Macaca fascicularis: one gene and its partner. The protein of the gene in region 2 binds, or shares a complex with, the protein of the main gene of each other region. Links are inferred from orthologs where the notes say so. Each region holds a gene or a part of one and is shown on either strand. Other genes may lie near its edges.

What was found.
Region 1: the proteins of GLB1 (region 2) and CTSA are in contact, whole or in part, in a cryo-EM structure (PDB 7KDV), measured with the Mus musculus proteins. The link is inferred for Macaca fascicularis from reciprocal best matches to the Homo sapiens genes GLB1 and CTSA. Residues at the interface, in NP_033882.1 of Mus musculus: Tyr198, Asp199, Arg202, His206, Leu229, Thr233, Leu234, Gln235, Asp236, Leu237, Lys258, Phe259, Glu260; in NP_001033581.1 of Mus musculus: Glu29, Asp31, Ala37, Lys38, Gln39, Pro40, Ser41, Phe42, Arg43, Tyr107.

The regions. Positions count from the first base shown.
Region 1 is NC_088384.1:101,929,299-101,933,620, reverse strand, and holds the start of CTSA (lysosomal protective protein), read right to left. Parts: upstream 2,816-4,322; 5' UTR 2,725-2,815; intron 2,582-2,724; coding exon 2,400-2,581; intron 2,246-2,399; coding exon 2,134-2,245; intron 1,889-2,133; coding exon 1,838-1,888; intron 1,755-1,837; coding exon 1,668-1,754; intron 1,430-1,667; coding exon 1,274-1,429; intron 937-1,273; coding exon 845-936; intron 1-844. Other genes in the region: NEURL2 (neuralized-like protein 2), read left to right, coding at 3,161-3,902. UniProt on the Homo sapiens protein: Protective protein appears to be essential for both the activity of beta-galactosidase and neuraminidase, it associates with these enzymes and exerts a protective function necessary for their stability and activity.
Region 2 is NC_088376.1:15,300,731-15,305,068, forward strand, and holds the start of GLB1 (beta-galactosidase), read left to right. Parts: upstream 1-1,316; 5' UTR 1,317-1,377; coding exon 1,378-1,452; intron 1,453-1,640; exon of another isoform or gene 1,641-1,744; intron 1,745-4,166; exon of another isoform or gene 4,167-4,274; coding exon of another isoform or gene 4,275-4,338. Other genes in the region: TMPPE (transmembrane protein with metallophosphoesterase domain), read left to right, coding at 4,275-4,338.

The DNA of each region.
Region 1 (4,322 bases), on a different chromosome or scaffold from region 2:
AGCTAGCTCCCAAAGAGGTGCCCCAGGGTCATACAGACAGGCCTCCTTAGTTCCTTTAAAATCTGATCTCTGGCCGGGCGCGGTGGCTCAAGCCTGTAATCCCAGCACTTTGGGAGGCCGAGACGGGCGGATCATGAGGTCAGGAGATCGAGACCATCCTGGCTAACACGGTGAAACCCTGTCTCTACTAAAAAATACAAAAAACTAGCCGGGCGAAGTGGCGGGCGCCTGTAGTCCCAGCTACTTGGGAGGCTGAGGCAGGAGAATGGCGTGTACCCGGGAGGCGGAGCTTGCAGTGAGCTGAGATCTGGCCACTGCACTCCAGCCTGGGCGACAGAGCATGACTCCGTCTCAAAAAAAAAAAAAAAAAAATCTGATCTCTGGCTGGGCGCCGTCGCTCACGCCTGTAATCCCAGCACTTTGGGAAACCAAGGCGGGCAGATCATTTGAGGCCAGGAGTTCGCGTCTAGCCTGGCCAACAGCAAAATGCCATCTCTACTAAAAATACAAAAAAATTAAGCAGGTGTGGTGGTACGTGCCTGTAGTCCCAGCTGCTTGGGATGCTGAGGCACAAGAATTGCTTGAACCTGGGAGGTGGAGGTTACAGTGAGCTAAGATCGCGCCACTGCACTCTAGCCTGGATGACAAAGTGAGACTCTGTCTCAAAAAAAAAAAAGAAAAAAAAGAAAAATCTGATCTCTATTCTTTGGCCTTTCAGCACTGTGTTCTTTCTGCAACCCACCTGCTGCTCATAAACCTGGGCTGGGCCTGTCATATCATGTGCCTGGAGGACAGACTCGAGATCATGTGACCCTAGAGATTGCCCAATTGCCCTATCCCATACCTGTTCCCCAGAAGGCCATGGTAGTAGGCAAAGTAGACCAGGGAGTTGTCATTCTGCTCATAGGAGGAGAGTCCATTGCCCACAGCCAGCCCCTGTGAAACACCCAGGGCGCTCAGCTCATGTGGAGGGCGAAGAGGAGGAGCCTCCCTCACCCTAACACCCAGACCTTCAGCAATCCGGAAGCTGAAACCCAGGGTGGTTTATGGGGGCGGTTGGGTGTGGAAAGTCACTCAATGCAAAGCACAGAGCTGGCAGCCTGACAGATGAGTTTCCTGTTGTGGGAGGCACACTAGACAGACCTAGGGCAGCTGGTGGTGGGGAGGGTATGCAGGGAGCTGGGTTGGATGGGGCTGTTGACCAGTCTGACCTTGCTAACTGCAAGGCCACAGCCTCAAGGTGCCTCCCTTCCCTCCTGCAGCTGCCCTGCACCTGAAGGTTCATGCTGGGGTCCTGCATGACCAGCACGGCCAGGGTGGGGATGTAGATGCCAGCATAGCTCTCCCCGGTCAGGAAAAGTTTGTTGTTCTTATACTCCGGAAAGAGGTGGAAGAAATCTTGAAGGGCCTCAAAATTGCTCTGGGCGACCTGGGGATGGGGGAGCAAGACAGAGGGAATCAGGAAGCTTTGGTATTTGAACTGGAAAGAACTTCAGAGATAATGACATCAACCCACCCTGTCTGTGTAAGAGGAAGTGACTGGCCACCATACCACAAGCATATGACAGAGCGAAAAGTGGACTCCAAGGCCATGCTCTCTCTCCCAGCATCATGCCATGGATGGAGGACTGGGGAGCCTGGGGCAGATGGGCAGGCACCAGACTCACCTCAGTGTCATTAGTTGCATAAAACTTGTCATCAGAGTAGGAGAAGCCCACCCCAGCTGGGGACTCCAGGTATAACACATTAGCAATCTAGAAGGGAGGGAAAAATTAGTCAACTGCCACTCCATCCAAGTGCCCAGACACCCCCACAGGACCCACAGCTCCAGCTATACCAGATTCCAAGAATAGGGGTTGTACTCCAGGGTGACACCATCTGGCTGGACCTGAGGAGGAAAGAGATGGCTGAGTAAGTCCCAAGGGCCAGCTGGGTGGAAGGAAAGGGCCACCGTGAGAGGCACTTTACGTGTGGGCAAAACCCCTGAGAGGTACAAGCAGCAAAGCCAATGGCATAGAGGAAAATCCCAAGACTTAGAAGGAAGGAAACTTTCTGGTAAATCACAAAGTCCGTTTCTCCCTTTCCCCAGCCTTTTTCTTTAGGAACTGTGCTTTACCCCTGCTGTCCACTCACCAGGAAGGGGCCATGCTCTGTGAGGAGCCCATCTAGGGAGCTGCAGCCGGGACCCCCATTGAGCCAAAGCACCACAGGGCTGTTCTCGGGATCCTTCTGGGACTCCACAAACCTGGGAAGGGGTGTCAGGGCAGTGTTGGTGCAGTTGCAGGGGTCCTTTCCGGCCCTCCCGGCTCCCAGGCGTCCTCAGGGGTCTGCAGAACTACCCCCCACCCCTCATCCGTCATCTCTCCTCCCAGTCCCGCCCGGGAGGCAGGGCGGCAGACCAGTAGTGGAGGTGCTTGGAGCCGGAGCCTTTGAGGTAGCCGGAGTACTGGCGGAAGGACGGCTGCTTGGCCAGCCCGGGGAGGCGCTGGATCTCGTCCTGGTCCGGGGCTGCCTCGCCTCGGGGCGCCCAGGACACTAGCAGCAGCAGCAGAAACGGCAGCGGCGGCGCGGCTCGGATCATCTACGGGAGGCAGAAGAGGGGCTGTTGCCTCGCTCCTCAGCGCTTCCGTGAAGCAGCACCCGGGTAGGAGCTGGCGGCGCCTCCGCGAGGGAAGCCCCGGCCCCAGCGCCAGCTCCCACCCTCAAGCTTCCTCTACCGCGCACCGATCCCGGGCTCGGGGATCCCCTCCAGCCTCCGGTGCCAGCTCACCTCTGCTCCCCCGTGTCCTTGCTCTCCAGGAGGCGCCCGGGGACTGGAAGTCATGTGTACTCCGAGTCACGTGAACTCCGGCGCCACGTGACAGTCTTCCTCCCGCCCCTTCTTTGGTCCCTACCGGCCTGGGGGGCGGTGGCGGTCAATGCCAGGTCAAGGTCCGCGGGCCTCGCGGATCGTAGCCCGGGCGCACGCGATCAGATGATCCGGGTGTGGATGGCCAAGTTCTAGGAGGGATGGCTGAGCAAGCGGCGCTAGGACCCCCGGGCAGAGGCTCGGGGAAGGGAGGCAGGGGGAAAATGCCTTACAAGGTCCCCTTGCGGTCACCATCTGAGCCCGCCGCCCAAAATAGCCCCGGCGCCCGCCAGCCTGCCTTATGGCGGAGAGATGGCTGCTGCCTCCGAGCCCGTGGATTCGGGTGCACTCTGGGGACCTGCGCGCCCGGAGCCCCCTCCCACCCGCTTCCATTGGGTGCACGGTGACAACATCCGCGTGGACCCCTCTGGGACGCGGGCCACACGCGTGGAGAGCTTCGCCCACGGCGTGTGCTTCAGCCGTGAGCCCCTGGCCCCGGGCCAAGTCTTCCTGGTCGAGATCGAAGAGAAAGAGCTGGGCTGGTGCGGACATCTGCGTCTCGGTCTGACGGCGCTGGACCCCGCCAGTCTGGCCCCCGTTCCCGAGTTTTCTCTGCCCGACCTAGTCAACCTGGGCCACACCTGGGTCTTCGCCATCACGCGCCACCACAACCGCGTGCCCCGGGAGGGCCGCCCGGAGGCCGAGGCAGCGGCCCCCAGCCGACCTCCAACCCTCCTGGTGGAACCATATCTGCGCATTGAGCAGTTTCGCATTCCCCGGGACCGCCTGGTGGGCCGCAGTCGGCCAGGGCTCTACAGCCATCTCTTGGACCAGCTCTATGAGCTGAACGTGCTGCCTCCGACGGCGCGCCGTAGCCGCCTGGGCGTCCTCTTCTGCCCGCGCCCCGATGGCACGGCCGACATGCACATCATCATCAACGGCGAGGACATGGGCCCCAGCGCCCGGGGGCTGCCAGCTGCGCAGCCCCTCTACGCGGTGGTGGACGTGTTTGCTTCCACCAAGAGCGTGCGCCTTGTCCAGCTCGAGTATGGCTGTAGGTATCCCTGGGCAGCGACCCCTCCTGGCGCAATGTGGGGACAGGAATCTGCTAGGGCTCGTAACCAGTGTGCTAGGCCTCCGTCTGTCCAGCACTAGTTTAAGAGTGGGAGAATCTAGCTTCAAATTACACCTCTGCTTGTGATCTTGCACAAGCCTCTACCTGGTTTTGGGCCTTGGTACCCATCTTGGCTGATGGATTAAGATGCCCTACAAGTTCGCTTTTAGTTTTGAGAATGTTTCCTGTATTCACCTAGGGCAGGGATTCTAAACTGATTTTAGATATTAGGGGCCTCTTTGAGAATTGTTTGCCCTTTTCTTAGAAACATGCTTGGTCGGCCGGGCGCGGTGGCTCAAGCCTGTAATCCCAGCACTTTGGGAGGCCGAGACGGGCGAATCACGAGTTCAGGAGATTGAG
Region 2 (4,338 bases):
ATACTGAACTAGAATTGCAGAGCTTGGAAAGGACTTCACAGTGCAAGCACACGGAATTGGTACTCCAGACACGAAAAGAAGCCAGGCACGGAGGCTCATGTCTGTAATTCCAGCATTTTGGGAGGTGCAGGCAGGCAGATTGCTTGATTCCAGAAATTCAAGACCTGCCTGGGTAACGTGGTGAGACCCTGCCTCTACAAAAAATACAAAAATTAGCCGGGTGTGGTGGTGCGCGCCTGTAGTTCCAGCCACTTGGTAGGCTGAGACGGGAGAATTGCTTGAGCCCAGGAGGCCAAAGCTGCAGTAAGCCGTGTTCGCGCCACTGCACTCCAGCCTGGGAGGCAGAGTGAGAACCTGTCCCAAAAAAACAAAATCAAAACCAAAAAAAAACCCCCAAACCAAAAAACAAAAACCTGAGGAAGAAAAGCCAGTGACTGATACTTTCTTAATCTCTCAAGGAAATGTCCGGTAGGAAAGGAGAAAGGAGTGAACAAATAGAATTTTTGGCTACTTTGTTATACAATGTAAAAGGCTTTTTTGGAACACCAAGGCACAAACTAAGGTTATTATTATTATTTTTTTAACTTTTTTTTTGAGACGGAATTTCACTCTTGTTGCCCAGGCTGGAGCGCAATGGCTTGATCTGGGCTCACCACAACCTCCGCCTCCTGGGTTCAAGTGATTCTCCTGTCTCAGACTCCCCAGTAGACGGGATTACAGGCGCATGCCACCACGCCCGGCTAATTTTTGTATTTTTAGTAGAGATGGGGTTTCATCATATTGGTCAGGCTGGTCTGGAACTCCTGACCTCAGGCGATCCGCCCGCCTCGACCTCCCAAGTGCTGGGATTACAGGCGTGAGCAGAATTTTCATTCTAACAAGTTCCAGGTGAGTTGATACAGTGGCTCCAGGGACCGACCACATTTTGCTAACCCCTAGTTTAGAATTATTCAAAGAGCCCGTATATGATACGCGGACTTGATCTAGGGCGTTTAGGTTTAGTAATTAACAATTTCCCTCTTCTGCTCTCTCAAGGAAGCCAGAAAACAGGGAGACCATGATTCATGTCCAATCTCCGAGGCGCGTTATCAAGCTGCTGAAAGCAGGGCCTCCCGATTGCCGTTACAAAGGGTCCCCTCCCAGGCAAGACGCCTGCAAAACCCAGATAGTACTATCCTGGAGTCACGCGGCCGCGCGCAGCCTCCTAGCCGCCCCCACCCGCCCGGCTCGGCCACAGCGGGGCGGAGCGCGGGGCTGAGCAGGCGCGAGGGCTGGCTGCTGGGCGGACGAGGGGCGGTGCCAGGCCGCGGGTCCTTAGTCAAGTGACGCGGAGCGGCCGGCCTGGGCGCCGACTGCAGAGCCGGGAGGCTGGTGGTCATGCCGGGGTTCCTGGTTCGCATCCTCCCTCTGCTGCTGCCTCTGCTGCTTCTGGGCCCTACGCGCGGCTTGCGGGTAAGTCTGCGGGACTCGGGTACGGGGAGGCATTGCTAGGGGACAGGCTGGCGGGGAACCGGACTTGGGCCGCAGCCACCCGGGGTCCCGCAGGGCGGAGAGCCTGAGCCCCGAAGTGCCCCCCAGCAGGCAGGCGGCCGGCGGAACGCAGGCAGTGGACCGGCCTTCCCGTCGGGGGCGGGCCGGGCGGGGCGCGCGTCCTTCCAGGCAGCTCGGTCGCTTGTGCGTTCCGCTCCGGCTGCCCTCTGCGCTTGGACTCACTTCCCTATCTGTAACGAGGTGGTGAGACGAGGTGCGCCTAAAGATTTCCTTAGTTGGCTTTCCGGGAGGGGATTCCAAGTTGCGCGGGTTAGAGGGTGCCTCGGGTTCTGGTTTGGGGCGCCCTTGCTTTCCCAGTCCGTGCTCTGCGGAGCGCTCCGGAAGGAGAAAAATGGGGTCAGGAGAGGCCCCTGCTGTGGGAGCACTGGGTTATTTTCCCTCTGGGTGCTCGCCCTCTTCGTGCATCTTGTTGCCTTCTCACCACTCCCCGTCGCCTGCCCTTTGGCTCCGGTTTTTCTTCGTATTTGTGGGACCCTTTTCCTTCGGCGTTTGGGGGTCCAGGTTGCGTGGGGGAATAGGCAGGCTGCCGGGGGGATCCCAGCATTGATGGGGGGAGGTCTGGCGAGGCGAATAGGTGAGGTGCGGGGCGTGCACGTTTGGTGGGAGAGTAAGGGCAGCTTCACTCGCTTCGTCCGAGCTGAGGCGACGGGCTTAGGGGGTTCCTAAGCGCTGCCTGGGGAGGTTTGCATCAGACCTGCGGAAAGGAGAGTGGATAGTTGCAAGCTGCTCCTCTGCACGTTCCGCGGACCAACTTTGGTTCCTTCAGGGTGTAGGTGGGCCGAGCCTGCAGCACGCTTTAAGTAAGAGCTGGTGGCATTTGACACCGTGGACTTGTAAGTTACACCCTTTAATAGGGCTTTCAATAACGCGCCTAGTGCAGAGAAAAGTGGTACATTTATCTGCAACCAAGATTGAACATCTTAAGTATTTGGAAAACAGCTGCTGAAAATGTTTTCATTTTGGGAAAAAGTCAGCACAGATTATTTACTTTTCCCTCTTCACCCCGTCTGTGGTTCCCCTACCCCAGTTATGTAGACAGAGTTCTTGTCCACAAGGCCCGTAGGACCTTAGGAGTCAGAGCTAGCCAGCTGTGAGAACCACTGGGGAAGGTGGAAGTGGGGCACAGTTCAGGAGAACAGTGGCAGGGTAAGGGGCTGGGGGAAAGGCAGATTTTAACCAGTATCTGGGAGTGGGGGTAGAGAGAGAGAGAAGGATTTATGAACCAGGAGCAGGTGGACAGGGTCAGTCTGTCTGATGTAAGCTTATCAGTCTAGTGCAGCATCAGTGGGTCAGGGTGGATGCCCTGTGGCTACCATACCTGAGGCCCACACAGGGAGGCTGGCATCACCCCAGGAATTCTAATGTCAGGTGCCTAGGTGTCCCTCTTGGGCTCCTGTGCCCACAGCTGAAGAAAGATACTAGCAGTCTAGCTTTTCATTATCTCCTTGTTTACATTTCTTTACAGTCCAAGACATTCTCCTGCCTCAGCCTCCCAAGTAGCTGGGACTACAGGTGCCTGCCACCACACCCAACTAATTTTTTTTTTTTTTTTTTTTTGTATTTTTAGTAGAGACAGGGTTTCACTGTGTTAGCCAGGATGGTCTTGATCTCCTGGCCTCGTGACCCAGCGGTTCTCAAATTTTAACTAAATTTTAGCTGTCCTAGAAATTAAGAGAATATTTTCTTCCTTTTTTTTTTTTTTTTTTTTTTTTGAGACAGAGCCTCACTCTTTCGCTGAGGCTGGAGTGCAGTGGCATGATCTTGGCTCAGTGCAACTTCCACCTCCCAGGTTCAAGTGGTTCTCCTGCCTCAGCCTCCCGAGTAGCTGGGATTACATGTGCCCGCCACCATGCCTGGCTAATTTTTGAATTCTTAGTAGAAACAGGGTTTTACCATGTTGGCCAGGCTAGTCTTGAACTCTTGACCTCAGGTAATCTGTCTGCCTCGGTCTCCCAAAGTGCTGGGATTATAGGCGTGAGCCACTGTGCCCAGCCCTAGAGAATATTTTAAACTATTTGTTAAGAAATAATACATCATTATACATTAATAAACTATATATATTTGAAAAACAATAGTATTTCTCCCCAAATTTTAGGGTGAAGAGTTGCACTGTTTTACATTTCTGCAAATCTCTTTCAATGTCTCTTAATAGAAGACAGTCAAATTTTCATGTTTATTTCTGCATGAAATCTGTTGCCATATCACATGTCACATAGCCTCTGGAAAATTCCACCCTCAGGACAGAGTGAGAATGGAAAAGGCAGTAATGGCTTGGAATTATAATAAAAATAGTTTTGACTAATTGGACCCCTGAAGGGCTCTCTCCAGACCGCACTTTGAATACCGCTGATTTGGAACATTCTTATAAAACAAGTGCATGCTCACTGTAGAGAAACTTTAAACGTATAGAAAATGTGGTAAGAAAATGAAAACTGCCCATCATGTCACAATGCTGTGAGTTTCTTTTTGAATCATAAAGTATAGCTAGCAACTCACTGGTATTTGAGTGGCTTGGATTCAAGGTGGGTTGGGCAGACGTAAGTGGCCTTTGAGTTTTGAATGGGTACAAGGATGCTCTAATATCCCACAAAGCTGATGCTGGTTCCTGGTTGCAGGCGGAGTTGACCTGGAAACCTCTCCTTGGCCACTGTCCTTTCTAAAGAACTCATTTCCAGAGTCCACCAGCACAGAACTGGTGGGGGAGCCTCCTAGGAGCAGAGAAAATGGCCATCTTCAGGCAGCTGTCCCTAGGCGCGAAGGCCACCCTGGCTGCCGTCACTGTCTTCG